2 linked regions of the Stegostoma tigrinum genome follow. The protein of the gene in region 1 interacts with the protein of each later gene in a pairwise test. Links are inferred from orthologs where the notes say so. Each region holds a gene or a part of one and is shown in the gene's direction. Other genes may lie near its edges.

Region 1 (15,872 bases):
GTAATTGGATTGTTGTATCAAAGAGCTGATATATTGGCATAAAATGAGCAAAATGGCCAATCTATTGATGGCCATGACTAACAATGCCTTTCCCAACTTTGTCATCAAGGAGGCATGTCTTTTATTGCATCTGATTTCCAACAACTCTCTGTGATAAATTTTCCAATATTATTCCTAATTTAAACATGATAGTTTCTTTCCTTAAATCCTTCTAAGTTGCAATGCATTTTTTTCTCCCTTTCATTCAAAATCAAAATGCATGACGCTGACTCCTACATTTAACCTAATTTATTTGCCTCCAGGACTTTTGAATGAAATCTACATACTTTTGAACCCCAGTTTGCGATTACTGAATCGATGTTTTTTGATTTACTTGTCTTCCCTTCTACTATTCTCAATTTTACAGATAGTTTTAATAATAGAATATTAAGTTGAATCGGAATATAACATTTGGTCTTAATTCTCTTGAGTAATAGTGAAGATTGGAGATTCAGGCAGGATTTCCTCTCCTGATCACTATAGAGCCAGTTGAAGTTGAGATTGAGGCCACTTGACAGGTTAAACAATGTCCTGATGCATGCTGTCTGGCGCAGATGTAATAAATGGACATTTGGTTGAAATTATAGTCATGAGTCCCTGGTACTGTTCTGTAACTTTTTCAGCGGGTGGGGGGTCGGAAGGAAAGCTGATGGAAAATAAGAGAATGAATTTTAAAATTGCTGTAGAGCATTTTAATATTTTATGTTTTATGTGTTGACTTGTTTGAAACTTGGTCTGGTGCTAAAACCGAAGTGGGAAACTATTACTAGATCATTATTCTGGCGCAAGCTCATCTTTTCACTTCTCACAAGAATGAGCTACTCAAATGGCACATATTCACTCACTGGCCCCTTTCACCTTCACCTTATCTCTTGTGATTGACAAATATTATCTGTTTAATGATGGTATATAAACTGCTGATATTTGATTCCTGATTTTTATTTATGGCTGAGGTGGTTGTTTAATCAGGAAACTCACTTCTTCTCATCTCAGTATCCTATAAATATCATTCTTTAAAATTCATCAAGCATTTTTTTTTACTGTCAGAAGATTTTTGGGCCCTGTTATATTAGTTTTAAGGGATATTTTGAATTTAATGGATTTTTTAAAAGTGATTTTAGTATATACTATTTTGGTTTAGTAATTAGCTCCATGGGAAAATAATTATAATTTAGTTACAGGTAATATACAGTAATACTTAATGAGCCCACAATCTTCCATGCCTCAAAGGACAAGGGAAAATCACCAGCAAAGCATGTCACCTATAAACTCAACCCCAAATTGCACATTATTCTAACTTGGGACTGTTCCTTCATTGCTACTGGGTTGACATTCTGAGGTCTCTCACCTCACAGCATTTGGTGTGTGACCATGCCGCATGGACTGCAATGATTCACAAAAGCAGCTCACCAGAATTCTAAGGCAAGAAAGAATTGGTAAAAAAATGCCGACATAGTTTGGAACAATGTTTTAGACTTATTGAAAACAGGCCGGGTATTTCACGTTTGCATTGGGACGTGGTTTTGGCCCAGCAAGAACAGACAATGTTTCATGATTTTGATGTGGATGTTATATTTGCATTGGATTAAAAAGAAGTGCTCTAACCAATGAAAACTAAACTTAATAATTTGTATAAAAGTTATTCTGGACACTCCACCTTTTTGTGCTTTAGGTGTACCAGAGTTTGGGCCACATAGGCCATGGTTTTTAAATTGAAGCGAAGCAGGTAGCTCTCAGTCTGGATAGTGGTGGAGACATGAAAATTGACCTTGACAACTTGGCGTGGAGAGTGTGGTAAATCTGGGATGATTCTGCCTCCTACCTTCAGTAATTCCTTTTGGAATTTCACATGTGAACATGGATAAATAGAGCTCATGTTCTCTTTTTTTTCCTTAGATTACATATGGGTACTGTTGACATCTTGGATTAAATAGCTAACCCTTACCCTATTAACTGTCCAAACCTGCAGCTGGAAGGAAAGTCCTGATTTTTAGATATTGAAGTTTCATCATAGTGAATCTACAAACATCACTTGTTCCCAACGTTTCAATTTTTAAATTAAGCCAGCTTTCATTTCTGTTATATGCTTAATAAACATCCCTTACGAAATTAGCATTAGCCCAAACTCTGACCACAATCAGAGGCACAACCAGTTCACCATCTAAATTGATCACAGAGCAGCAGCAACAATATTATATTTAGAGTTACAAATATGTATGGTGATATGAGGTTATTATATTCCCAAATGGTATGATAAATTACTTTCTGGCTACAATATGATAGGATGCAACCAAATGTTGTAACATAATCATTCCAATAAATTCCATGTGCGTTCTTAACTTTCCTTTCCTCCAACTTGTGGCACCTGCCACCCACACTGCCACTGCATGTGCCACCAGCTGAGTGTCATTAGCACTCAGTTTCTCGAGTATCCACTTATCTTAAGGGACTGGGAGTGCTCGGCAAATTTGATACTTGAGAGGAAGCATCATAAAAATATTAAGCTGCCTGCTTGCAGAGTTGAAGACCCTGGCATCTTCTGATCTCAAACTAATTTGTGGTCTTTCCTCCAAACTCCTAGCAATGATTTTTAGAATTGTGCCCAATAAGTCTCTGCAATTTTTGAGTCTCACATTGGTTGTTGATTGAGAGCAGACAGTGGACTCAGTGATCCTAAATTAAGAGCACTTTTGGACTTGTTTACTTCTTCCATTTAGGAGCCTGTTTCAACAAAAATTGAATCAAGGAGAAGGGAACATAAAACAGATTTTCCACATTTAGTTGATATCTACTCCATACTGCCAGAATATGCAGATTTGTTGTCATTATCTTAAAATAAGGCAGCAACATCAATGTCAAATTTCCTGCTAGCAGGCTGAATACTTTCTTGTTGTAAAACGTTTCATGTGTATGTGAATTAATATACTTTGGCTTGTTGGAGAAGGCAACTAAATTTTATTTAAATTTGTTGGACATCTACTTGAGTACTGTGATTTGTAAAAGAAATGTTGATACTTTTGTGAACATGTGATTGTGAAGAAGATTTTTTTGAAGAGGTTTTGAAAATGGAAAGTGGATATATTTTCAAGTGTGGTGTTTTGCACTATGTACATTAGACCATTACAGCAAACAACAAGAGACACCGCTATGGGTATTTTCTATCAGCAGTTTAAAAACAAAATTAGGTCAAGTTATAAAGCCAATAGTCACTGCTTGGATTTGAAGCTTTTATTTTTAAGGAAACAACAGCTGCCTTTGTGTTTATTCCACTGCCTGATTGGAGAATAGGTGTTTCAATGAGTACATTCCATAGACACTGAATTTAAATTCAATGCATTTATGTGTACAGGTACATGTGTTTTCCCTTTTTCTGTTTGTCTGTGCGTGTGCGTGTGCATGTGTGTGTGCGTACGCACGTGCACATTGTTACAGAGAAGATGCCTTAAGTGTAAAAATATATCTTGTGGCCTTTTTTTAGATCTGTTTGTCCACTTACTGTTTGTGGTGTATGTGACTTGAACTTTTGCTTTCAAAAACACTGAAAATGGAAAATGTTTTATAAATACATATATTTAAAAATATCATGCTTTGATTTTTGTTTGTGCACACATTGAATCACCCTACTGAAATTCAAGTCATATGCTTTTTGAGAAAATCATAAATCATAGAATCCCTACAGGTATGGAGGCAGACCATTTGGCCAGTTGAGTCCACACTGCCCCTCTGAAAAGCATCCCACCCAGACCTACTCCCCAACCTATCCCCATAACCCAACATTCTCCCAGGCTAATCCATCTAGGCTGCACATCCCTTGACATGTTGGGCAGTTTAGCATGGCCGATTCGCCTAACCTGCACAGATTTCTGTAATTGCCAAATTTCACCTCTACTTTCTTTTTTCAGTTTCTTATTTTGGGGTTTTTGTTTCTCCTTGATTCTTTGCGATTTCTGGATCCTTCTCTCTCAATTCCTTCCAGTTTTGTTTTGAGGAATGGTAACATGCAGAATAAAATACTGCAGCTTTCTGTCCAACAGTCTAATCTGAGATAGTTCTGCCTGAAGCACAGTCTAGTAAGATAGATCTGGTATAGTAATACAACGGTTATGTTACTACGCTGATCAAGGAACAAAGAAAATTTCAGCACAGGAACAGGCCCTTTGGCCCCCCAAGCCTGCGCCAATCCAGATCCTCTATGTAAACCTGTCACCTATTTTCCAAGTATCTGTATCCCTCTGCTCCCTGCCCATTTATGTACCTGTGTAGATACATCTTAAATGACACTAGCGTGCCCACCTTTACCACCTCCGCTGGCAACGTGTTCCAGGCACCCACCACACTCTGCGTAAAGAACTTGCCACGCATATCTCCCTTAAACTTTTCCCCTCTCACCTTGAAATTGTGACCCCTAGTAATTGAGTCCCCCACTCTGTAAAAAAAAATCTTCTTGCTATCCACCTTGTCTATACCTCTCATGATTTTGTTGACCTCAATCAGGTCCCCCTTCAACCTCTGTCTTTCTAATGTAAATAATCCTAATCTAATTAACGTGTCTTCATAGCCAGTGCCCTCCTTATCAGGCAACATCCTGGTGAACCTCCTCTGCAGCCTGTCCAAATCATCCACATCCTTTTGGTAATGTGGCGACCAGAACTGTCCGCAGTATTCCAAATGTGCTTGAACCAAAGTGTCATTCAACTGCAACATGACTTGCCAACTCTTGTACTCAATAGCCCATCCAATGAATGAAAGCATGCCATGTGCCTTCTTGACCACTCTTGACCTGCGTAGTGACCTTCAGTGTACAATGGACCTGAACCCCAGATCTCTCTGTGCATCAGTTTTCCCCAGGGCTTTGCCATTTACCTTGTAGTTTGCTCTTGAATTGGATCCTACAAAATGCATTACCTCACATTTGCCTGGATTGAACTCCATCTGCTATTCCTCCACCCAAATCTCTAATCTGTCTGTATTTTGCTGCATTCTCCGACAGTCCCCTTCACTATCTGCTGTTCTACCAATCTTAGTGTCATCTGCAAACTTGCTAATCAGGCCATCTATACCTTCCTCCAGATCATTTATGTACATCACAAACAACAGTGGTCCCAACAGTGGAACACCACTGGTCACAGGTCTCCAATTTGAGAAACTCCTTTCCACTACAACTCTCTGTCTTCTGTTGCCCAGCCAATTCTCTATCCATCTAGCTAGTACATCTGGAACCCCATGCGACTTCACTTTCTCCATCAGCCTACCATGGGAAACCTTATCAAATGCCTTACTGAAGTCCATGTATATGACATCTACAGCCTTTCCCTCATCTATCAACTTTGTCATTTCCTCAAAGGATCCTATCAAGTTGGTAAGACATGACCTCCCTTGCACAAAAACAAGCTGCCTATCACTAATAAGCCCATTTTCTTCCAAATGTATATAGATCCTATCCCTCAGTATCTTCTCCAGCAGGTTCCCCACCATTGATGTCAGGCTCACCGGTCTATAATTACCTGGATTATCCTTGCTACCCTTCTTAAACAAGGGGACATCATTAGCAATTCTCCAGTCCTCCGGGACCTCACCCATGCTCAAGGATGCTGCAAAGATATCTGTTAAGGCCCCAGCTATTTCTTCTCTCGCTTCCCTCAGTAACCTGGGATAGATCCCATCCAGACTTGTCCACCCTCATGCCTTTTAGGACACCCAACACTTCCCTGCCTCTTTATGCTGACTTGGCCTGGAGTAATCAAACATCTGTCCCTAACCTCAACATCCATCACGCCAGTCTCTTCAGTGAATACTGACACAAAGTACTCATTAAGAATCTCACTCAATTTCCCTGACTACTCACATAACTTCCCTCCTTTGTCCTTGAGTGGGCCAACCCTTTCTTGAGTTACCCTCTTGCTCCTTATGTATGAATAAAAGGCTTTGGGGATTTTCCTTGACCGTGTTTGCTAAAGATATTTCATGACCCCTTTTAGCCCTCTTAATTCCTTGTTTTAGATTGGTCCTGATTCTTCCAAAGTTTCGTCTGTTTTCAGGCGTCTAAACCCCACCTCTTCCTCCGTTACATTGATGACTGTATCGACGCCGATACATGCTCCCAAGAGGAGCTCGAACAGTTCATCCATTTCACCAACACCTTCCACCCCAACCTCAAGTTCACCTGGACCATCTCTAACACATCCCTCACCTTCCTGGACCTTTCTGTCTCCATCTCAAGCAACCACCTACAAACCGATGTCCATTTCAAGCCCACCGACTCTCACAGCTACCTGGAATACACCACCTCCCCCCACCTTCCTGCAAAAATTCCATCCTCTATTCCCAATTCCTTTGCCTCTGCCGCATCTGCTCCCAGGATGAGGCATTCCACTCCTGCACATCCCTGATGTCCTCATTTGTCAAGGACCCCAACTCTTTCCCCCCCCCCCCCCCCCCCGCGGTGGTCAAGAACGCCCTCGACCGTGTCTCCTGCATTTCCCACACCTCACACCCCGCCCTCGCAATAACCGCCAAAAGAGAATACCCCTAGTTCTCTCATACCACCCCACCAACCTCCAGATACAACGCATCATCCTCCGAACCTTGTGCTATCTACAATCCGACCCCACCACTAAAGACATCTTTCCATCCCCACCCTTGTCTGCCTTCCAGCGAGACCACTCTCTCCGCGACTCCCTTGTCCGCTCCACACTCCCCTCCAACCCCACCACACCAGGCACTTTCCCCTGCAGCCACAGGAAGTGCTACACCTGCCCCCACACCACCTCCCTCACCCTCATCCCAGGCCCCAAGATGACTTTCCACGTCAATCAGAATTTCACCTCCATATCCGCCAATGTGTTATACAGCATTTGCCGTACCTGGCGTGGCTACCTCTACATAGGGGAAACCAAGCAGAGACTTGGGGACCGCTTTGCAGAACACCTATGCTCGGTTCACAGTAAACAACTGCACCTCCCAGTCGCAAACCATTTCAACTACCCCTCACATTCCTTAGATGACATGTCCATCCAGAGCCTCCAGCAGTGCCATAATGATGCCACCCATAGGTTGCAGGAACAGCAACTCATATTCCGCTTGGGAACCCTGCAGCCCAATGGTATCAATGTGGATTTCATCAGTTTCAAAATCCTCCCCCCACCCCCCCCCCCCCACCCCCGCCGCTGCATCCCAAAACCAGCCCAGCTCGTCCCTGCCTACCTAACCTGTTCTTCCTCTCACCTATCCCCTACTCCCACCTCAAGCCGCACCTCCATTTCCTACCTACTCATGCCATCCCGCCCCCTTGACCTGTCCGTCCTCCCCAGACTGACCTATCTCCTCTCCCTCCCCACCCTTACTCTCCTCTCCATCTATCTTCTCTATCCATCTTCGGTCCACCTCCCCCTCTCTCCCTATTTATTTCAGAATCCTCTTCCCATCCCCTTTTCTGATGAAGGGTCTAGCTCGAAACGTTAGCTTTTGTGCTCCTGAGATGCTGCTTGGCCTGCTGTGTTCATCCAGCCCCACACTTTGTTATCTTAGACCTTATGTATGCTTCCTTCTTCCTCTTTGCTAGTCTTACAATTTCACCTGTCATCCATGGTTCCCTAATCTTGCTCTTTCTATCCCTTCTTCAGACTCTTCTTCAGAAGAAGGGTGTAGGCCCGAAACGTCAGCTTTCCTGCTCCTCTGATGCTGTGTGGCCTGCTGCGTTCATCCAGCTCTATACCTTGTTATCTCAAATTGTCCACCATCTGCAGTTCCTACTGACTCTGATCATTCAGAGACTTAGGTTGGTCAAAACATCAATGCTAACTGTATTATGATAATTTGCAAATTTAAATTCAGTTATTCTGAAAAGAAATATGGAAGTAAAAAGCTGTTATCAGCTAAAATGACTAATCAAAACTCAACTAGTTCTAAGCTATTCTTAAAAGGATTAAGTTTTGATACATGAAATGCAAGACATAGAAGTAGAAGTTAGACTTTCAGCCCCTCAAGTCTGCTCCACCATTCCATGATTTTTTTTAAGTACAACTATGCGTGGACATTGCGCACACAATACAGGGAACCACATCACCTTTCACGCTAGTGTTGTTGTAAAACAGTTTATAAATAAAATGTATATGCAGCTGAAATGAGCAACCGGGTTATCAAATGGAAAGATGAAAACTTGACCATGAAATGAAAATCAAACCTACCCCTATCCATGGGAGTGGTCCTGTTTCTCTACTGGTTAATTTCGTTTTCTATGTGTTGCAATCTCTGCACAAAACAAATAATATCATGAGGCACTGATCGCTTGAGGTCTGAAATAAAGGTATAGTACTAATAACGATCATGCTTATCAGTCATTCAAACTGAAGCAGATGAAATGAAAGGAGTTGCATTTATGTGTTACATTTCACGACATCAGTTTCTCTACACTGCTAAGTATTTGCAAGCGTACGCCGTAAGAAATAGAAGCTAATTTGCGCAATGTACAAGGAAAATGGTTAAGCAATATATGCTGGCAGGATATCCTGTTCTTTCACTCGTGCTGTGGGACGTTTAGATCGTGAAGGGCTGAGACCTTAAAATTAGATTTGCATTGCTGAAAGACCAGAACTCTCGGGCATCATATGTCCTGAGTCTGTGGTGTGAATTTAAAAATCGTTACATTCTGACCGATTTGAGGACGCTACCCCTTGCTTTAAGATTGAGAGCACGAGTTTTCCAGTGGCCTGTCTATATGAATATGTCTGCTAATTGCTGAGCTGATCAGAAGCGCAGAAGTATTTACATGTCACCGTGGAATCAAACTTAAACCTGTTATTTTTAAGTGCGATACGTTTGTTCAAAAGGACATATTCACATAGGGAGTGAATAAATGATGGGAATTTCGAGATCATTGGACTTAGCTAGCTGAACAGGAGCAGGCTCTGATAATGCTAGCTTTCCTGCTCCTCTGATGCTGCTTGGCCTGCTGTGTTCACCCAGCTCCACTCCTTGTTATCTCAGATTCTCCAGCAGCTGTAGTCCCTACTAGTTCTTTCCCTAAGTTGTTTGAGTCTAGTTCGTCCCCCAGCAGTGACGAACACACACCTGAAATTAAGGCGAAGGCTGCAGGAGGCGGGCCGAGGCCATGGGGTGGGGCAGCCAGATGTGGTGGGCGGGGCAGGGGCCGGGCCGTTGGTGGGGGTGGGGTCTGAGCCGGCAGAGGTGGGCGGGGACGATCCGCCTCACGTGTCGACGGCCAGCTGTTGCCGTTGCCGCGCTTCGCGTTTCCCCAGCGACAGTGGCCTTAGCAACTGCTGCCCTCGTGCGCTCGTAAATCACAAAGAAATTCTGAAATAAAGCGAGTCCAATGGAATCGGCTTTAATTACAAACTGAAGTGAGATCCGCGCTGAATCCGGACCCGGAAAATATGGGGTTTAGCTGCTCTGGGCCCTACACCGTCTGGTCACCTTGGGAACTGTTTCCATGGTGATGGCGGCCCGGCGTCTGGGAGATGGTGTTGTTGGAGCCTCCTGCGGGAGATAGAGAGTGAGGGAGAGAGAGAAAACATCGGGGACAGTAAGTCGTGATCATTTCACTCAGTTTATAGACAGAGTTTGCAGCTGTCCCTTTGCAGCCACTCCAGGCCTCAATGTGGTCAATACGACTTCTCCCGTACCTCATTTTCCTTTTTGCCGTTGACTATAATCGGCCGGAGGGGAAAGTGGGATTTTTGGCTTGGTCTCCATATGCCGTAAAACCACTTGTGCTGACAAGGGGTTGCAGGCATACACCAGGCGAGAGAATGAGGACCCTGGCTTCCTTGGTGACACTGGGTATGTTGGGCTGACCTAAATCAAGAATAGCCGTCCCCTAACCATCAAAACCGCCACTACCCAGGCGAGGTGCTGGGAAAGTCTATACAGCCCCCATAAGGATCAAAGTCTTAGAATGAAAAAAAAATTGCATAATGTTCCTTTCACCCCACAACAAACACAAACAAAACAACCATTGAAATATTTTTAAAGTACAGCCATTGATGTGATCCAGAAAACATAGGCACCCAAAAGTTCCACAAAAATAAATCAGATTATCGTTTTACTCGCAAATTGATTGAGGGATAAGTATTGGTCACAGTACCAAGCAACGCCTCCCTAGAATGCCGGAGGATCTTTTATTTTCTTGTGAGTAGATGGTGCCTCACTTTGGCATCTCAGCAGGTAGCCGGATTGCATGGAAGTGAAGCATCCCCTCAATTGTACCCAAAATGATGCGCCAAGTCCCTGGAGTGGTCTTAAACTCAAGCCAGCATCTGACATAGAACTGAATGCAATGACTAAGCAAACGCTAACATCTCAAAAAGGGCGTATCTACTTTTTCGAAAGTTGGAAGAAAACCTTGATAAAATTCCTAGCCGCGGTATTGATGTTTAGCAGGTTTAAAATTCCATTCCAGATAAAGTCTGATCCAGAGTAAGAACCTTGGTGAGGAATTGAGAGACACTACAATTCAAATGAACGTTTCCTGAGCTTGGATGGAGAAAACAAAGTGCATTCTTATTCCTGGTCCTGATTACTATGCAGCAACTAATACCGGAGAGAGACTGTGTATGAATGCCAGTCTGCCTTCTATGGTTCAATGACTTACTAGTGTAGTTCAAGTTTGTATGTTAACATTTTCAGCATTATTATTCATTGAGATATGCAGACATGATAGGAACACAGCAGAGAATAAAACTCACATTTATAAGCAACTTAGAACTGGGTAATGGAGACAGACAAAGTCTGCTTTATCTCAATGGCAATGCTCTGTTCAATCAAAATCTACCTGCCTGGTCTGGAAATAGCAGTGATGGTTAACTGTTCTTACTGCCTCTCCATGCCAATGGTGGCCCAACTAATCAGCATCCCCACTTGTGCTATGTGAAATGGTATTGTTTTTGTTAAGTTTGTTTCTTGTAACCTAGCTCTGATGGTTGCAAGACAGAATGCTCCAATACCTAATTACCTTAGCAGGATATTGCTTGGTATGGAGGACATTAGCTATGAGGAGAGGTTGGAAAAACTTGGATAACAAGATGTAGAGCTGGACGAACACACCAGGCCAAGCAGCATCAGAGGAGCAGGAAAGCTGACGTTGTGGGCCCGACCCTTTTTCTGAAGAAGGGTCTAGGCCCAAAAAGTCAGCTTTCCTGCTCCTCTGATGCTGCTCGGCCTGCTGTGTTCATCCAGCTCTACACCTTGTTATCTCAGATTCTCCAGCATCTGCAGTTCCTACTATATCTGAGAAACTTAGGTTGTTCTCACTGGAATGATGGAGGTTGAGGGGGCACCGGATAGAGTTCTACAAGATTATGAAGGGCATGGACAATTTGGACAGTCAGAAGTTTTTTCCCAGGATGGAAGAGTCAGTTACCAGGGGCCATGGTTTAAGCTGTGAGTGGCAAGGCTTAAAGGTGATGTATGAGGCAAGTTTTTTACACAAAGGGTGGTGGGTGCCTGGAACTCACTGCTGGGGGAGGTGGTGGAAGCAGATACTACAGTGACTTTAAGGGGCGTCTTTACAAATATATGAATAAGATGGGAATAGAGAGATACGGTTCCCATAAGGGTATGGGCTTTTTGTTGTGATGGGCAGCATGTCGGTGCAGCTTGGAGTGCTGAATGGGCTTATTCCTGTACTGTATTTTTTTTTGTTCTTTGTTCTAATCTCCTTTTAGCAATTTTTAACTTCCTGAGACTTCCTTGCTAGCCAGAATAGTTTCCTCTCTCTTAACCATATTTGGTCCCTTTCATATCTTGTAAAATTTGATCAACTCAGCGTAACTTTTTAAGTTTCAGGAGATATGATCGTAGCTTATGTAAACTTCCCTCATAATTTAAAACAAAAGGCTTTTCAGAAAAAATAAAACTCCTTTATGGTCACTACATTGATATGAAGATGTGTTATTTGAAGTATAAATTTAAAATCTAATTGAACTTAGCGAAGGTGATGGCCATGTGTTTTTATGGCTGGACTGCTAATTCAGAGACCCAGGTAATGTCCCAGGGACCGTGGTTCAAATCCTGCCATGGCAGATGGTAGAACTTGAATTCAATGAAAATCTGGAATTAATAGTCTAATGATGACAATGAATCCATTGCTAATTGTTGAAAAGAATACCTTTAAAGCTAAGGAGACTGGCCGCAGCACAAAGAAAGGTTGCATTTGCAAAGAACAGAAGCTGCTCAACTGAAGTCAATAAGCCGACAACACTTCTGGAGATATCACATGACACAGTTTGTAGATCCAAATGAAACTATTGGATTTTAACACGAAAATGCAAGATAAGCTCTCCCAAACGCAACAGCCTTTGCCCTCTTTCTCCTCCTTGAAATCATTGTTGTCAGAGTTTGAGAGTTGAAAATTCACTGGAAGATTTCATCCCTCTAAATGGAGGTTTCCAAAAGGAGACTTGGAAATCTACATCACCGTCTGCATTAAAATATTATTAGCCAGTCATAGCTGGTCCAGGAAGACATTCCAGTGCCAAAACACTTGGCAGTGTTTAATACTTTGCTGTCAAAATTGGAGGTTGTGTATTGTAATTTGAAAGAAGGACAGTTGTGTATATTTTTGCATTTCTAACCACTTGTTAATAATCTTTACATCTATGTTTGAGCAAGTTTGGTTTCCCATAAATTAGTTATTTGTTTATTACTTAAGGAACCTGGCTGACTTGTTTCTTGTACTGAATTACAATTGACAATATTCCCTCCTTTTTAAATTTAAATTTTATTTTGACCAGTACAGGAGCGGGACAAGGAAAGGAATCAGTTCACCCTTCCTAACTTGACTTAACAAAGTATTTGAATGGTGTGACATCTAGATTTGCTTACTTGACCCTAGGTATGGCCTAATCATTGCTTTATGCAGCTAAAGCTGCATTGTGGTCCTTTAGATATAAAGGACAGAAATCCATTAGCCTTTTAAAATATTCTTCACACCCATGCTAATTTTACTTATCTCTTTACTTACACTATTTTAAACTTTCCCTCATTTAGTAAATACCCTTTTTAGCTAAAAGTGGATGAAGTCTCATGTACATTGAAATCCATTTGGCACTGTTTTGCTAATTCCATTGATCTATGAGTATCTTATATTTTTAGGCATTCATTTACCCTGCTTAAAGTGCCACTTACCATTTGGATTAATTTTGATATGTGAATTTCTATCGTATCATTTTGAAAAAAAAAGGATCACTTGACATTTTATGGTCTAACTATTCTTCATTGCAGTTTTAGTTGAAGATGAGCAGCAAAAGCAGTGGTGTGAAGGTGTTCGCCAGAGTCAGAACAACAACTAATTTTGCATCAGATATGATTGAGTTTTTACCTGACAATCAGGTAAGAAAGACCATTACAGAAGACTCTCCTGTATGTTTTATTTATATTGAGAAATCACAGTGAAGAGTTGATGTCTTCAGAGCCTCTAACAACTCCTAATGGAAGATGAACATCACATCACCATATCATCACCCATTCTTCCTGGTCAACTGGCTGTCTAAAAAATTTAGACTCATTTTCAGTCTTAGGAGAATTAACTATCTACTGTGACATGAACAACTGCATATATTGCTTGTTGACATCTTCTGTTGCTGACCACAATATATATACTATAATTAAAACTTGAGGATTGCAACATGTCTTTTAGTTAGAAATTGAAGGATTATTTTCAAGGACACAGAAATTGCTGGACAAGAGAAGGTCCACACTTCATGTACTACCATCACGGTAGCCCCCTGATGCTAATATAATGCATTTCTTGATTAAATCAGAAATCAGACAACACAAGGTTATAGTTCAACAGGAACAAAAACAGAAATTGCTGGAAAAGCTCAGCAGGCCTGGCAGCATCTATGAAGAAAAAATCTGGGTTAACATTTCAGGTCCGGTGACCCTTCCTCAGAACATTTTTCTTCACAGATGCTGCCAGACCAGCTGAGCTTTTCCAGCAACTTTTGTTTTTGTTCTTGACTTACAGCATCTGCAGATCTTTTGGGTTTTTTAAAATAGCCCAACAGATTTATTTGAAATCACGGGCTTTCGGAGCATAGCACCTTCCTCAGGTGAAGTGAGAAAGAAGCTCCAAGAAACAAAATTTATGGGCAGAGAGATCAAAGGCAGATAGATCAAACGATCATACAAATGGTGTGAGTGGAGGGTTGAATAATACGTCTCTGCTGGTGATCACATGTCAGACGATGTGAGTAAAGTGCCAACAGTTAAATAACAAGTGAAGGGATGACATATAATCCGATTAAGTGAGGCATGGAGTTAATTATAAAAGCTTAAAAATAAGTTGATGTTGGAGACAAACCAAATGACAGGAATAACATGATAGGTATAAGAGTTGCATGCCGAGGGTCTAACCAAAGTAATAAGTAATCCAACACTGTACAAACTAATTAAGGTAGAGAGACCATAACAATTTGTCAAGGTGACGGAGTCATAATAGTACAGTAGGGAAGATTTTACAGATATAGAACAGTGTGGTGGGGTTGCATGTAGCGTGACATGAACACACAATCACGGTTGAGGCCAACTTCATGTGTACGGAACTTGGCTATCAATTTCTGCTCGGCAATTCTGTGTTGTGTATCTCAAAAGTTACCTCAGTGGACGTTTACCCAAATGTTGAAGGCTGAATATTCTTGACTGTTGAAATGTTCAACTGGCAGGGAATATTCCTGTCTGGTGATTGTTGCGCAGTGTCCATTAATCTGTTGTCCTGGCATCTGCATGGTCACGCCAATATACTCTGCCTCAGGGCATTCAATCCTGTAGCGTATGAGATAGGCAACATTGCCCAAGTCACATGAGTATCTGCCGTGTACGTGATGGGTGATATTCTCATGTGTGATGGTAGTATCCATGCCAATGATCTGTCATGTTTTGCAGAGCTTGCCATGGCAGCGTTGTGTAGCGTTGTGGTCAATGTTGTCCTGAAGGCTGGGTAGTTTGCTGCGAACAATAGTCACTTTAAGGTTTGGCGGTTGTTTGAAGGTATAGGGATGATCTTGGCGAGATGCTTATCATCATCAATAATGTGTTGAAGGCTGCAAAGAACATGGTGCCATCTCTCCACTCTGCGAAAGTACTGAATGATGCACTGTATTCTATTGATCGTACCCTGAATCTGTCTTCTGAGGAGGGCTTTGCGGTTTTTCACTGTGGCACATCAGAACTGGTGATCAATGATTTGAGCATCAAATCCCATTCTTATGATGGCGTCCTTCAAAATCTTGAGGTGCCCATTCCATTCCTCCTCATTACCTATTAGAAGATAAAGTGAGTGCACTCAAAGGTGCCCTGGCTCCTGCATGCGTACTGGAGCTCTTTCCTTGGGTTGGTAAATTATTACAAATCATACATAACCTGGCCTCCAGCTTGGCTGTCTTACACCTGCTATTGAAAAAGGGTCAGCCTTGGAAATGACTGAATAGCCAAGAAGTAGCCTTGAGGGAAGTGAAGAAGCAACTGTTGTTATCTAACGAGTTGGCCTACTACATACCCGAGCAAGAGGTGATGCTGACATTCATTTATTCCCCAGATGGTATCAGGGCAGTGTTAGCTCACTGCTGGCCCAATGGAGTGGAATGCCTGACAGCTTTGGCCTCCCAGACTTGGGCTGATACTGAACGCAAATTGCTTCAATAGAGAATGAAAGTTTGGTGGCCATCTTTGGTGTGAGAAAGTTCCTCCAATACCTTTACATACATGGATTTTTAATAGTAATGCACCACAAACCCCTGCTAGGACTACTTAAAAACAAGGCTTGTGCCACCCATAGCTTCTGGTTGAATTCAGCAGCAGGCCTGTTCTGAGTGCAT
Region 2 (15,756 bases), on another chromosome or scaffold:
CCCCTGCCCTCTCGGTGGGAGACAGACCCCGGCCCTCTCGGTGACAGACAGACAGACCCCTGCCCTCTCGGTGGGAGACAGACCCCGGCCCTCTCGGTGACAGACAGACAGACCCCTGCCCTCTCGGTGGGAGACAGACCCCGGCCCTCTCGGTGACAGACAGACCCCTGCCCTCTCGGTGGGAGACAGACCCCGGCCCTCTCGGTGACAGACAGACAGACCCCTGCCCTCTCGGTGGGAGACAGACCCCGGCCCTCTCGGTGACAGACAGACAGAGCCCTGCCCTCTCGGTGGGAGACAGACCCCGGCCCTCTCGGTGACAGACAGACAGAGCCCTGCCCTCTCGGTGGGAGACAGACCCCGGCCCTCTCGGTGACAGACAGACAGACCCCGGCCCTCTCGGTGACAGACAGACAGAGCCCTGCCCTCTCGGTGACAGACAGACAGAGCCCTGCCCTCTCGGTGACAGACAGACAGAGCCCTGCCCTCTCGGTGGGAGACAGACCCCGGCCCTCTCGGTGACAGACAGACAGAGCCCGGCCCTCTCGGTGGGAGACAGACCCCGGCCCTCTCGGTGACAGACAGACAGAGCCCGGCCCTCTCGGTGACAGACAGACAGAGCCCTGCCCTCTCGGTGGGAGACAGACCCCGGCCCTCTCGGTGACAGACAGACAGAGCCCGGCCCTCTCGGTGACAGACAGACAGAGCCCTGCCCTCTCGGTGGGAGACAGAGCCCGGCCCTCTCGGTGACAGACAGACAGAGCCCTGCCCTCTCGGTGGGAGACAGACCCCGGCCCTCTCGGTGACAGACAGACAGACCCCGGCCCTCTCGGTGACAGACAGACAGAGCCCGGCCCTCTCGGTGACAGACAGACAGAGCCCTGCCCTCTCGGTGGGAGACAGACCCCGGCCCTCTCGGTGACAGACAGACAGAGCCCGGCCCTCTCGGTGACAGACAGACAGAGCCCTGCCCTCTCGGTGGGAGACAGAGCCCGGCCCTCTCGGTGACAGACAGACAGAGCCCTGCCCTCTCGGTGGGAGACAGAGCCCTGCCCTCTCGGTGGGAGACAGAGCCCTGCCCTCTCGGTGGGAGACAGAGCCCTGCCCTCTCGGTGGGAGACAGAGCCCTGCCCTCTCGGTGGGAGACAGAGCCCTGCCCTCTCGGTGGGAGACAGAGCCCTGCCCTCTCGGTGGGAGACAGAGCCCTGCCCTCTCGGTGGGAGACAGAGCCCTGCCCTCTCGGTGGGAGACAGAGCCCTGCCCTCTCGGTGGGAGACAGAGCCCTGCCCTCTCGGTGGGAGACAGAGCCCTGCCCTCTCGGTGGGAGACAGACAGACTCCTGCCCTCTCGGTGACTGACGGACAGACAGACAGACAGACCCCGGCCCTCTTGGTGACAGACAGACAGACTCCTGCCCTCTCGGTGACTGACGGACAGACAGACAGACAGACCCCGGCCCTCTCAGTGACAGACAAACAGACCCCTGCCCTCTCGGGGACTGACAGACCCCTGCCCTCTCGGTGACTGACAGAAAGGCCGTTGCCCTCTCAGTGACTGACTGACAGAAAGGCCCCTGCCCTCTCGGTGACTGACAGACAGATCCCTGCCTGCTCGGTGACTGACAGACCCCTGCTCTCTCGGTGACTGACAGAGAGACTGATGGCTGCCCTTTCGTTGACAGACAGACAGACCGCTGCCCTCTCGGTGACTGACAGACCGCTGCCCTCTCGGTGACTGACTGACAGACCGCTGCCCTCTCGGTGACTGACTGACAGACCGCTGCCCTCTCGGTCACTGACAGACAGACAGACCGCTGCCCTCTCAGTGATTGACAGACCGCTGCCCTCTCGGTGACTGACAGACCGCTGCCCTCTCGGTGACTGACAGACCGCTGCCCTCTCGGTGACTGACAGACCGCTGCCCTCTCGGTGACTGACAGACCCCAGCCTTCTCGGTGACTGACTGACAGACCCCTGCCCTCTCGGTGACTGACAGACAGACCCCTGCCCTCTCGGTGACTGACAGACAGACCCCTGCCCTCACGGTGACTGACAGACAGACCCCTGCCCTCACGGTGACTGACAGACAGACCCCTGCCCTCTCGGTGTCAAACAGACAGACAGACACCTGCCCTCTCGGTGTCAGACAGACCCCTGCCCTCTCGGTGTCAGACAGACAGACAGACCCCTGCCCTCTCGGTGTCAGACAGACCCCTGCCCTCTCGGTGTCAGACAGACCCCTGCCCTCTCGGTGACAGACAGACAGACCCCTGCCCTCTCGGTGACTGACAGACAGACAGACCCCTCCCCTCTCGGCGACAGACAGACCCCTGCCCTCTCGGTGACAGGCAAATAGACCCCTGCCCTCTCGGTGACCGACAGACAGACAGGCCCCTGCCCTCTTGGTGACAGACAGACAGACCCCTGCCCTCTCGGTGACTGACAGACGGACAGAGCCCTGCCCTCTCGGTGACTGACAGACGGACAGAGCCCTGCCCTCTCGATGTCAGACAGACACCTGCCCTCTCGGTGTCAGACAGACCCCTGCCCTCTCGGTGTCAGACAGACCCCTGCCCTCTCGGTGTCAGACAGACCCCTGCCCTCTCGGTGTCAGACAGACCCCTGCCCTCTCGGTGTCAGACAGACCCCTGCCCTCTCGGTGACTGACAGAGAGACAGAGCCCTGCCCTCTCAGTTACAGACAGAGAGACCTCTGCCCTCTCGGTGACAGACAGACAGACAGACAGACCCCTGCCCTCTTGGTGACTGACAGACCCCTGCCCTCTCGGTGACTGACTGACATAACCCGGCCCTCTCGTTGAGTGACAGACATACAGACCCCCTGCCCTCTCGGTGACAGATAGACAGACCCCTGCCCTCTCAGTGACTGACTGACAGAAAGGCTCCTGCCCTCTCGGGGACTGACAGACAGATCCCTGCCCTCTCAGTGACTGACTGACAAACCCCTGCCCTCTCGGTGACTGACAGACAGACAGACCGCTGCCCTCTCGGTGACTGACTGACCCCTGCCCTCCCGGTGACTGACAGACAGACCCCTTCCCTCTCGGTGACAACCAGACAGACAGACCCCTGCCCTCTCGGTGACAGACAGGCCCCTGCCCTCTTGGTGACAGACAGACAGACCCCTGCCCTCTCGGTGACCGACAGACCCCTGCCCTCTCGGTGACAGCCAGACAGACCCCTGCCCTCACGGTGACAGGCAAATAGACCCCTGCCCTCTCAGTGACTGACAGACAGACCCCTGCCCTCTCGGTGGGAGACAGACAGACCCCTGCCCTCTCAGTGACTGACAGACAGACCCCTGCCCTCTCGGTGGGAGACAGACAGACCCCGGCCCTCTCAGTGACAGACAGACAGACCCCTGCCCTCTCGGTGGGAGACAGAGCCCTGCCCTCTCGGTGGGAGACAGAGCCCTCCCCTCTCGGTGGGAGACAGACAGACTCCTGCCCTCTCGGTGACTGACGGACAGACAGACAGACAGACCCCGGCCCTCTCAGTGACAGACAAACAGACCCCTGCCCTCTCGGTGACAGACAGACAGACCCCTCCCCTCTCGGTGACTCACAGACAGACAGATCCCTGCCCTCTCGGTGACAGACTGTCAGACAGACCCCTGCCCTCTCCGTGACTGACAGACTCCTGCCCTCTCAGTGACAGACAGACAGACCGCTGCCCTCTCGGTGACAGACAGGGCTCTGCCCTCTCGGTCATTGACAGACAGACAGACCCCTGTCCTCTCAGTGACAGACAGACCCCTGCCCTCTCGGTGAGAGACAGACAGACCCCTGTCCTCTCAGTGACAGACAGACCCCTGCCCTCTTGGTGACAGACAGACCCCTGCCCTCTCGGTGACAGACAGACAGACCGCTGCCCTCTCGGTGACTGACAGACCCCTGCCCTCTCGGTGACAGACAGACAGACAGACCCGTGACCTCTCGGTGACTGACAGACCCCTGCCCTCTCAGTGACAGACTGACAGACCCCGGGCCTCTCATTGAGTGACAAACAGACAGACAGGCCCCTGCCCTCTCAGTGACAGACTGACAGACCCCGGGCCCTCTCGTTCAGTGACAGAATGCTGCCCTTTCAGTGACAAACAGACAGACAGACCCCTGCCCTCTCGGTGACTGACAGACAGACAGGCCCCTGCCCTCGTGTTGACAGACAGACAGACCCCTGCCCTCTCGGTGACTGACAGACAGACAGACCCCTGCCCTCTCGGTGACTGACAGACCGCTGCCCTCTCAGTGACTAACTGACAGACCCCTGCCCTCTCGTTGACTGACAGACAGACTGATGGCTGCCCTTTCGTTGACAAACAGACAGACAGACTCCTGCCCTCTCAGTGAGAGACAGACAGACCTTTGCACTCTCGGTGACTGACAGACCCCTGCCCTCTCGGTGACTGACAGACAGACAGGCCCCTGCCCTCGTGTTGACAGACAGACAGACCCCTGCCCTCTCGGTGACTGACAGACCCCTGCCCTCTCGGTGACTGACAGGCCCCTGCCCTCTCGGTGACTGACAGACAGATCCCTGCCTTCTCGGTGACTGACAGACCGCTGCCCTCTCGGTGACTGACAGACAGATCCCTGCCTGCTCGGTGACTGACAGACCCCTGCTCTCTCGGTGACTGACAGACCGCTGCCCTCTCGGTGACTGACAGACAGACCGCTGCCCTCTCCGTGACTGACAGACCGCTGCCCTCTCGGTCACTGACAGACAGACAGACCGCTGCCCTCTCAGTGATTGACAGACCGCTGCCCTCTCGGTGACTGACAGACCGCTGCCCTCTCGGTGACTGACAGACCGCTGCCCTCTCGGTGACTGACTGACAGACCCCTGCCCTCTCGGTGACTGACAGACAGACCCCTGCCCTCACGGTGACTGACAGACAGACCCCTGCCCTCTCGGTGTCAAACAGACAGACAGACACCTGCCCTCTCGGTGACTGACAGACAGACAGGCCCCTGATCTCTTGGTGACTGACAGACAGAAAGGCCCCTGCCCTCTCGGTGACTGACAGACAGACAGACACTTGCCCTCTCGGTGACAGACAGACCGCTGCCCTCATGGCGACAGACACAGACCCCTGCCCTCTCGGTGACAAACAGACCGCTGCCCTCATGGCGACAGACACAGACCCCTGCCCTCTCGGGGACTGACAGACCCCTGCCCTCTCGGTGACTGACAGACAGACAGACGGCTGCCCTTTCGGTGACTAACTGACAGAAAGGCCGTTGCCCTCTCAGTGACTGACTGACAGAAAGGCCCCTGCCCTCTCGGTGACTGACAGACAGATCTCTGCCTGCTCGGTGACTGACAGACCCCTGCTCTCTCGGTGACTGACAAAGAGACTGATGGCTGCCCTTTCGTTGACAGACAGACAGACTCCTGCCCTCTCGGTGACTGACAGACCCCTGCCCTCTCGGTGACTGACAGACAGATCCCTGCCTGCTCGGTGACTGACAGACCCCTGCTCGCTCGGTGACTGACAGACCGCTGCCCTCTCGGTGACTGACTGACAGACCGCTGCCCTCTCGGTCACTGACTGACAGACCGCTGCCCTCTCGGTCACTGACTGACAGACCGCTGCCCTCTCGGTCACTGACAGACAGACCGCTGCCCTCTCGGTCACTGACAGACCGCTGCCCTCCGGTGACTGACAGACCCCAGCCTTCTCGGTGACTGACAGACAGACCCCTGCCCTCACGGTGACAGACAGACAGACCCCTGCCCTCACGGTGACAGACAGACAGACCCCTGCCCTCTCGGTGTCAAACAGACAGACAGACCCCTGCCCTCTCAGTGACTGACAGACAGACCCCTGCCCTCACGGTGACAGGCAGATAGACCCCTGCCCTCTCGGTGACTGACAGACAGACAGACACCTGCCCTCTCGGCGACAGACAGACAGACCCCTGCCCTCTCGGTGACTGACAGACCGACAGAGCCCTGCCCTCTCGGTGACTGACAGACCGACAGAGCCCTGCCCTCTCCGTGTCACACAGACCCCTGCCCTCTCGGTGACAGCCAGACAGACCCCTGCCCTCACGGTGACAGGCAAATAGACCCCTGCCCTCTCGGTGACAGGCAAATAGACCCCTGCCCTCTCGGTGACTGACAGACAGACAGACACCTGCCCTCTCGATGTCAGACAGACCCCTGCCCTCTCGGTGACTGACTGACATAACCCGGCCCTTTCGTTGAGTGACAGACAGACAGACCCCTGCCCTCTCGGTGACAGACAGTCAGACAGACCCCGGCCCTCTCCGTGACTGACAGGCCCCTGCCCTCTTGGTGACAGATAGACAGACCCCTGCCCTCTCAGTGACTGACTGACAGAAAGGCTCCTGCCCTCTCGGGGACTGACAGACAGATCCCTGCCCTCTCAGTGACTGACTGACAAACCCCTGCCCTCTCGGTGACTGACAGACAGACCCCTTCCCTCTCGGTGACAACCAGACAGACAGACCCCTGCCCTCTCGGTGACCGACAGAGCCCTGCCCTCTCCGTGTCACACAGACCCCTGCCCTCTCGGTGACAGCCAGACAGACCCCTGCCCTCACGGTGACAGGCAAATAGACCCCTGCCCTCTCAGTGACTGACAGACAGACCCCTGCCCTCTTGGTGGGAGACAGAGCCCTCCCCTCTCGGTGACTGACGGACAGACAGACCGCTCCCCTCTCGGTGACAGACAGACAGACCCCTCCCCTCTCGGTGACTGACAGACCCCTGCCCTCTCACTGACTGACTGACCCCTGCCCTCCCGGTGACTGACAGACAGACCCCTTCCCTCTCGGTGACAACCAGACAGACAGACCCCTTCCCTCTCGGTGACAACCAGACAGACAGACCCCTTCCCTCTCGGTGACAGACAGACAGACAGACCCCTGCCCTCTCAGTGACAGACAGACAGACCCCTGCCCTCTCGGTGGGAGACAGAGCCCTCCCCTCTCGGTGACAGACAGACAGACCCCTCCCCTCTCGGTGACTGACAGACAGACAGATCCCTGCCCTCTCGGTGACTGACAGACAGACAGACCCCTGCCCTCTCGATGTCAGACAGACAGACCCCTGCCCTCTCGGTGACTGACGGACAGACAGACCCCTGCCCTCTCGGTGACTGACGGACAGACAGACAGACCGACCCCTCCCCACTCGGTGACAGACAGACAGACCCCGGCCCTCTCAGTGACAGACAAACAGACCCCTCCTCTCTCGGTGACTGACAGACAGACAGATCCCTGCCCTCTCGATGTCAGACAGACCCCTGCCCTCTCGATGTCAGACAGACAGACCCCTGCCCTCTCGGTGACTGACAGACAGACCCCTCCCCTCTCGGTGACAGACTGACAGACAGACCCCTCCCCTCTCGGTGACTGACTGACAGACAGACCCCTCCCCTCTCGGTGACTGACTGACAGACAGACAGACCCCTGCGCCCTCGGTGACTGACAGACAGCCCCGAGCCCACCCCCAGGCAGCTGCTGCGTGTGAGGGAGAAGGGGGTGGGGCCGGCAGGTATGGAAGGGGGCGGCCCCGGGCTGTGGCTCTCCGCGGCGTTCGAGACTTCAGCTCCCGGGGCAGGCAGCGCTGGACAGGCCCAAGCCGAGGGCCCTAGAAACGCCATGAGGCCTGGACCCAGCGGAAACTAAATGGAGCCGGGTCCGCATCAGGCGAAGAGGCCGCGGCTGGAGGCCGAGCCCGAGGCCCGGCGGAGCGGGGGGCCAGGTCCCGAGGCCCGGGCCCGCCAGGACGGAGCCTATTTCCACTCGTACTCGGACGTGTCGATCCACGAGGAGATGATCGCGGACTCGGCGCGGACCGGTTGCTACCGCCGGGCCCTACAGGGAGGCCTGCGGCCTGCGGCCGGGCTCGAGCCCCGGGCTCGAGTGAGCCTGCTGCGGGACCGCACGGTGCTGGACGTGGGCGCGGGCACGGGCATCCTGAGCGTCTTCTGCGCGCAGGCGGGAGCGGCGCGCGTGTACGCGGCGGAGGCGAGCGCGGTGATGGCGGAGCGCGCCCGCGAGGTCGTCGAGGCGAACGGGCTGAGCGGCCGCGTGTGGGTGCTGAGGGGCCGGGTGGAGGAAGCCGAGCTGCCCGAGAGGGTGGACGCCATCGTCAGCGAGTGGATGGGCTACGGCCTCATGTACGAGTCGATGCTCCGCAGCGTGCTGCACGCCCGGGACCGATGGCTCAAACCGGGCGGCCTGCTCTTCCCGTGCCGAGCCGAGCTCTACATCGCCCCGGTCAGTGACCCGGCCCTGCACGAGCGCCTTTCCTTCTGGGACGGAGTCAAGGAGCAGCACGGCGTCGACATGGCCTGCATGGCCGCCTTCGCCCGCCGCTGCCTCATGACCGACGAGATGGTGGTGACCGGCCTGCACGGCGAGGACGTCCTGGCCCGGCCCACCATGTTCGCCGCCGTTGACCTCTACACCGTCACCGAGCAGCAGCTCGAGGAGCTAGGCGGCCTCTTCTCGGTCCCGGCCTTCGGCATCGCCACCATGCATGCCTTCGCCATCTGGTTTTCTGTCATCTTCCCGACGTCCGCCCCCACGGACCACACCGATGGTGGGCCAAGCGGTGTCCATGCCACCAGTGGCCACGACGATGGTCAGCGCTCGACCAGTGACCACGACGATGGTCAACGTTCAACTAGTGGCCCTGATGAAGCACAACATATGACCAGTGGTGGTGCTGATGGTCAGCATGCAACCAGTGGCTGTTCTTATGGCCATCAAGGGACCAGTCCCCGTGCTGACAGTCAGTGTGCAACCAGCAACAATGGTCATCGTGCGTCCACTGCCAAAGCCTTTACATCCCGTGTAACCAGTGCACACATCAGCAATGGAACTGTTGAGAGCCGCTTTGCCGTCACAGCCAATGGTGACAATCTCTGTGAATTTGATCTCAGTAATGAAACTAACCCTGTTACATTTGATGCCAACACTGATGAATCTGAGCCAGTTGTTTTGTCGACCTCACCTTTTGCAGAGGAAACTCATTGGAAACAGGCCTTGCTTTATCTGGATGAACCTGTGCAAGTGTTCCAGGATACTGTGATAAAAGGAAAAATAACTTTAACTCCAGCTGTAGATAATCCACGACATCTCCGGGTATCCTTGGTTTACGAGATTGGAGATAGTGGAAAGAAAACAAAAGTATTTAAAATGGGGGAGGATTTCTCTTCCTTTGAGTAACACTTTATCGCTGCTTGCACCCAAATGGACCCATAAGTGCCTGAACAGTTAAACGTTTTTGCTGTTTGTTTTCCAAAACGATTCAGTTGTTCTTTGAATGACTCATTGTGAAAAAATTGCCTTAACTCAATTAACCCATGCAGAGAGCCAAAGGAAGGAATGGGCAAGTCAGGAAGAAACATACAGCCCTAAAATGTCATTGACTTGCTGGATTGATGAATGTGGGACAAAAATAAATTAATTCAGAATGGTTGCTGCTTTTGAGTTGCCATTCGTGCATGTATACTTAAGAATTTTAATAACTTAATGAACAAACTTTGTTTGGTTTGTCGCTCCAATGTAACTTGTATGTGAATTTTTGCACTGGTGTTTCTCATGGTAAATTACTAGTTGCCTACTCTGAGTTAGTGTTCATGCAAAGTAAATTGACTCTCACTTGAAACATTTTCTGGTGCATTCATGCAGCCCAAGTGGTAACTAAACTAATTACTGCTTTGTGCTGTTTTAGCTGATTGCTGTCAGTGTTAGCCTCAGTATCCTTGTGAAAAGGAAAAGGACCACGTTCTATTTCGAAAGAAAATAAGACACAAGTCACTGTTTTGGAAAATCCTATGTCAGTTGGATCACAGGGATCTTACTTGAAGCATCAACTTTTAATTTTAAATGCTGGCTAACTTGTGTTTTTGCAATTTCTTTACTGGTTCATCACAAAGTACCATTGCAACTTTGTACCTTTGCAAACCCTTGCAGAAAATATTAATAGATCAATCAATTTTCAGTCACATACAGTTTTGAGCTTTCTGAAACGAATGACTCTTTTCTAAAATTGTTTGATTGAGCTCTGAACACTGTATCAACAATGAGATAAAACCAGTACTAAACCTGTCCTTTCTTGTGTACTGTGAAAGTGTTATGGGAGAGGTCTAAAACCCCAAGAGGTGCGTTGTTACAGAACACTTACCATATCCAAATGGACATATAATATTTTATGTATCAAGCAGGCCAAAGAAGTGTGTCACGCTGTTGGTGTTTTAAATTGTACCAAATTTGATATTTTGTTGAATTGTCGAAATGAACACTATTTATTTATAAAACATAACAAAGTGCTGTTTATTTTTCTTTATGCATTCATGATTGTTTGGCTGTGTGGGCATATATTGCAATATACAGTGGATTGTGTTTGTATCACAGTATACAGTTGGCTATGTGTGTGTGTATTATTGTACATTAGACCATAAATTATAGGGGCAGAAATAAGCCATTCAACCCAAAAAGTCTCCTGCAGCATTCGATCATATAGTTGGTTATGTATGAATTACAGTATACAGTTCCCTGTGTATGTGCATCACTGTACGTAGTAAGCTGTGGGTATATTACACTAAACGTATGGCTGGGCATGCATATTACAGTATACTGATGGCTGGGAGTATATCATAGTATACAGTTGGCCCTATTGTAGTTAGCTTTGCACATTACTGTATACAGTTGGTTTGTGTGTGTAATAAAGCACATAGTTGCCTGTGTGTGTGCACATTATAGTATAGTTGGCTATCTTATGTATATTTAAGTATCCATGTGGCTGTGTGTTTTACAGCATATAGTTAGTTGTGTCTATTATAGTAAACAGTTGGCTGTGTATTACAGTATATAGATGGCAGTGTATATTAGTTTGTGTGCATATTACAGTACAGTTGACTGTACATTACAGTCTGTGTAGATTACAGTATACATGTGGCTATGTATGTTACCAGTATATAGTTGGCTTACAGCATACAGTTGGGTGTGTGATATGGTATATAGTTGGCTGTATATGTTACAGCATACAGTTGGCTGTGTATTACAGGATAAAGCAGTCAGCATGTGTACTCTAGTATATAGTTGCTGTGTACATGACAGTATACAGGTCACTGTGTATTACAGTGTACATGAATATAAAGATGTGTATGTCACACTAAAGAACCTAAGGTATTATTCAAAAACAGGCAATTTTCTACAATTGCCCACTTTTTGTCCTGGAATCAATATTAAGAAAAAAGATTCACCTCACACTGTTCGTGAGAATTACTGCACATGATTCCCAAATAAGTGATTCCACTTCAGAAGTAATTGATCACATTGTTCACATTGTTCAATGTTAGCACTCTTGCCGCTCAGCCAGACAATTGTCAGTTTAAGCCCTGTTCTAGGCCAATGAACTGGTCTTTTTCTACGTTGTTTGTGAGATATTACCGTACATGAAATGGTTGCTGCATTTTCCTATTTTGCAACAATGACTTTGTTTCAAAAGTACTATATTGGTTATAAAGTACTTTGAATTGTATACAATTCAGCTCACCACATTTACAGGAAGGACGGTGTTGCAGATTGTGCTGGTGAGAGTGCGGAGCTAATTTACAAGGATACAGCTGATGTGCTACAATTGCAGAATGTGGGAACTTGGGGATTCTGGTCTAATCCAGGGTGCACACCCTTGTAGTAAGCACTGGGATGCTGCAGGAACTTTGGCTGAGAATCACTGAGTCGCAGACACTATGGCAAGTTAGGGAAAGAGAAATTTATCTGGACACTTTATTCCCAGAGGCAGTCACATCCCTTAAGATGAGCACTTCTGACTGAATAGTGGTCAGAGACAGGAGAGAATGACTGCAAGTGAGGAAGAAATGGGATCCGAAAAGCGTAAGCCCCAACCTTTACAATTGTCCAGGCTTCCCAGCCTGTTTGGTTGAGAGTGGGGACCTCAGGGTGGATGAGATAACTGGCCATGGCACCATGATAAATGAAACTGTTTAAGTGGTAGAGGAAGAAGGAATGTTATGATTAAAGAGGGCAATATAGTGAGAGGGATTGACACTTCTTGGCAGCAAAGAAAAGTGTATAGATGGTTGTGTTGTGTGCTTAGTAACAGGGTCTAGGATATCTGTACAGGCTGAAGAGCTTGCAATGGGAAGAGCAGAATGGAGTCATCGTGCCTTTCTGATGAAGGGTCTAGGCCCGAAACATCAGCTTTTGTGCTCCTAATATGCTGCTTGGCCTGCTGTGTTCATCCAGCCCCACACTTTGTTATCAAGAATGTACCAGTGGTCAGGACTGAATGCTACAGATTTTTGTTTAAATCTAAATGCTCTGCATCTGACTTCACATAGCATTTGAAACAAAGTAACTGAATTGATTGCACACATTGAATTAAATAAGGATGATCTGATAGCTATTATGGAAATTTGGATACAAGGCTTGTGTTCTCAATATTGAGAGACATGATATTAAAGAAGGATGGGAACCTTGGTAAGGGCTGGGGTCTGTGGGTGGGTAACTCTGTTACACAAGAATGGCACTGGTATAATAGAGATGATCTTGGTTCAGGAGATCAGGATGTAGAGTCAATTTGAAGAAAATGAGGAATCGTAAGGAAAATTAGTCACTTCATTTCACAAAGGATGGAGACAGAAAACAGGAGGCCGGTTAGCTTGATCCTAAATAAAGGAGTGGTCTACATGCCCTCTAACAGTAATCACAATGTGGGAGAAAGCATACAAGAAATATTGATAGCCTGTGATAAGGAACAGCAATAATTATGGGTGATTTATAAGCTGGAAACGTCAGCTTGGCAGTTGTAGCCTGGTTGAGCAGTGCAGAGTATGCTTTCAAAATTTTTTTTAGAGTAACACATACTTTAACAAACAAGAGGGCATGCAATGCCTGGCCTGGTATTGTGCTTTTTGATGAGATTGATGAATAATGTCAGAGCAAAGGCAGCTGTAGATAGCAGTGATCATAATGTGATTGAATTTGATATCCAGTTTGAAAGCAACAAGCATGTGTCCAAGACTGGTGTTGTAAACTTAAAAAATGGCAACTATGAGGTGTGGAAGCTGAGCGAGCTAAAATGAGTGGGGATATTGTGCTCGGGAGTAGGTCACTAGAAAAGCAGTGGCAGACATTGAATGGGGTGTTTCAGAATACCTACAATAAATATATCCCTACGATCAAGGATAAAATCAAACTTGAGGACCCACGCTCTGTGGTTAACTTAAGGATAGCATTGAACTGAAGGAAAAAGGGATTGGTTCTGGGTCATCATGTTTGTCATTTGTACAAATGATTTGGATGAGAATATAGAAGGCATGGCTAGTAAGTTTGCTGATGACACCAGAAGTGGTGGCATTGTAGACAGTAAAGAAGGTTTTCTAAGACTTACAAAGGGATCTTGATCAAATGGGTCAATGGGCTGGAAAATGGCAAATGGAGTTCAATCTGGTTAAATGCAAGGTATTGCGTTTTAGTACAACAAACAAGGTTTGGGCTTATACAATTAATAGTAGGGCCTTGGGTAGTGCTGTACAACAGAGGGACCTAGGGGTACAGATACTTCCTTTGAAGATTGCATCATACATAAATAGGGAGGTCATAAAGGGATTTGGTATGCTTTCCTTCATTGCTGAGTCCTTTGAGTACAGGAGTTGGGATGCTATGGTTGACGTTTTACAGGGCGTTCGTGAGGCCTCTTCTGGAGTATTGTGTTCAATTCTGGTCATCCTGTTATCGGTAGGATATTAAGTTGGAGAGGGTATGGAAGGTTTGAGTTAGAAAAAAAGGCTGGATAGGCTGGGACATTTTTCACTGGAGTGTAGGAGTTTTCAGGGTGACCTATTAGATGTTTATAAGATAATGAGAGGCATCGGTTGAGTTAATAGTAGTTTTCTTTCCCCGAGGATGGGGGATTTCAAGACTAGGGGACAAATTCTTAAGGTGAGAGGAGAAAGATTTTAAACAAAAGTGAGAGTGGTTCGTGTGTGGAATGAACTTCCTGAAGAAGTGGTGGATGTGGGTACAGTCGCAACATTTAAAAGACATTTGGATAAGTACATGAATAGGAAAGGCTTGGAGGGATATGAGCCAGGAACGGGCAGGTGGGCCTAGTTTAGTTTGGGATTATGATTTGATATGGACTGGTTGGACCGAAGGGTCTGTTTCTGTGCCGTATGACTATGAAAAAGCATATAATTGTGCAAAGGAGATTGACAGGTCATATGATTAGTCAGAATAAAAAGCAGGACAGAGAGTGACAAACTGGTTAACCAGAGCAAATAAATTAGAACATGAGAGGAAATTGGTTAGAAATATAGAGACAGACAGATATCAGTATCTTAAAAAGAAAGCAAGTAAAGTAAGTGTTAGTCCTCTGAACGGTGAAAATAAGAAGCCAATTGTAGACATAATGAAATGAATAAATATTTTTGCTTCTTTCTTCACCATAGGGTAAAGTCACCATAGTCCAAATGAATCAGAGACCAGTTACTGGTGAAGGTTTAAGCTGAGGGCACCATGCCTCATGAGGGCAGAGGTTGAGAAGGATAGTCCCTTGTTTGCTCAGCAGATGAATTGAACACGTGCTCGTTCTATTACAAACCAGCTGTCCGGGCAACTGAGCTAACTGACCATTAACAATACAACAACCATCCCAGTAATCCTTTAAATCTGGAGATTAAGGGAAAAGAGGAAATTGGTGACATTGGGATCTTGGTGTGCAGATACATAGATCCCTTAAAATGGCCACCCAAGTGGACAGGGTTGTTAAGAAAGCATATGGTGTTTTGGCTTTCATTAACTGGGGGATTGAGTTTAAGAGTCGTGAGATCTTGTTGCAGCTCTATAAAACTTTGGTTAGACCGCACTTGGAATACTGCGTCCAGTTCTGGTCGCCCTATTATAGGAAAGATGTGGATGCTTTGGAGAGGGTTCAGAGGAGGTTTACCAGGATGCTGCCTGGACTGGAGGGCTTATCTTATGAAGAGAGGTTGACTGAGGTCGGTCTCTTTTCATTGGAGAAAAGGAGGAGGAGAGGGGACGTAATTGAGGTATACAAGATAATGAGAGGCATAGATAGAGTTGATAGCCAGAGACTATTTCCCAGGGCTGAAATGGCTAGCATGAGGGGTCATAGTTTTAAGCTGGTTGGAGGAAAGTATAGAGGGGATGTCAGAGGCGGGCTCTTTACACAGAGAGTTGTGGGAGCATGGAATGCGTTGCCAGCAGCAGTTGTGGAAGCAAGGTCATTGGGGTCATTTAAGAGACTGCTGGACATGCATATGGTCACAGAAATTTGAGGGTGCATACGTGAGGATCAATGGTCGGCACAACATTGTGGGCTGAAGGGCCTGTTCTGTGCTGTACTGTTCTATGTTCTATAATGGACAAGGAAGGGGTGCTGAGCAAACTGATGGGGCTGTGAGTTGATAAGTCTCAAGATCCAGAAGACCTCGTCCTGGGATATTAAAATAGTCAGATAATGAGGTCGTAGATCATTAAGTGTTAATTTTCCAAAATTAATTAAATTCTGAAAAGATTCTATTAGTAGTGGAAAGGAGTAAATATATTCCCTGTATTCAAGAAGGGAAGGGGGCAAAAACAGGACACTGTGGACCAGTTAGCTGAATGCCCAGGAAACTAAGGTGTTAGGGTCAATCATTAAGGATATGATAACTGGGCCCATGGAAAATGCAAAGTTACCAGGGAGAGTTGGCATTTTTTTAA

What was found.
Region 2: the proteins of kif9 (region 1) and prmt6 interact in a two-hybrid assay, tested with the Homo sapiens proteins (2 studies listed by BioGRID and IntAct). The link is inferred for Stegostoma tigrinum from reciprocal best matches to the Homo sapiens genes KIF9 and PRMT6.

The regions. Positions count from the first base shown.
Region 1 is NC_081358.1:95,687,102-95,702,973, reverse strand, and holds the start of kif9 (kinesin-like protein KIF9), read left to right. Parts: upstream 1-9,265; 5' UTR 9,266-9,580; intron 9,581-13,278; 5' UTR 13,279-13,290; coding exon 13,291-13,386; intron 13,387-15,872. UniProt on the Homo sapiens protein: Essential for normal male fertility and for progressive motility of spermatozoa.
Region 2 is NC_081380.1:4,858,668-4,874,423, reverse strand, and holds prmt6 (protein arginine N-methyltransferase 6), read left to right. Parts: upstream 1-7,431; 5' UTR 7,432-7,677; coding exon 7,678-9,225; 3' UTR 9,226-9,368; coding exon of another isoform or gene 9,369-9,428; 3' UTR 9,429-10,488; downstream 10,489-15,756. UniProt on the Homo sapiens protein: Arginine methyltransferase that can catalyze the formation of both omega-N monomethylarginine (MMA) and asymmetrical dimethylarginine (aDMA), with a strong preference for the formation of aDMA.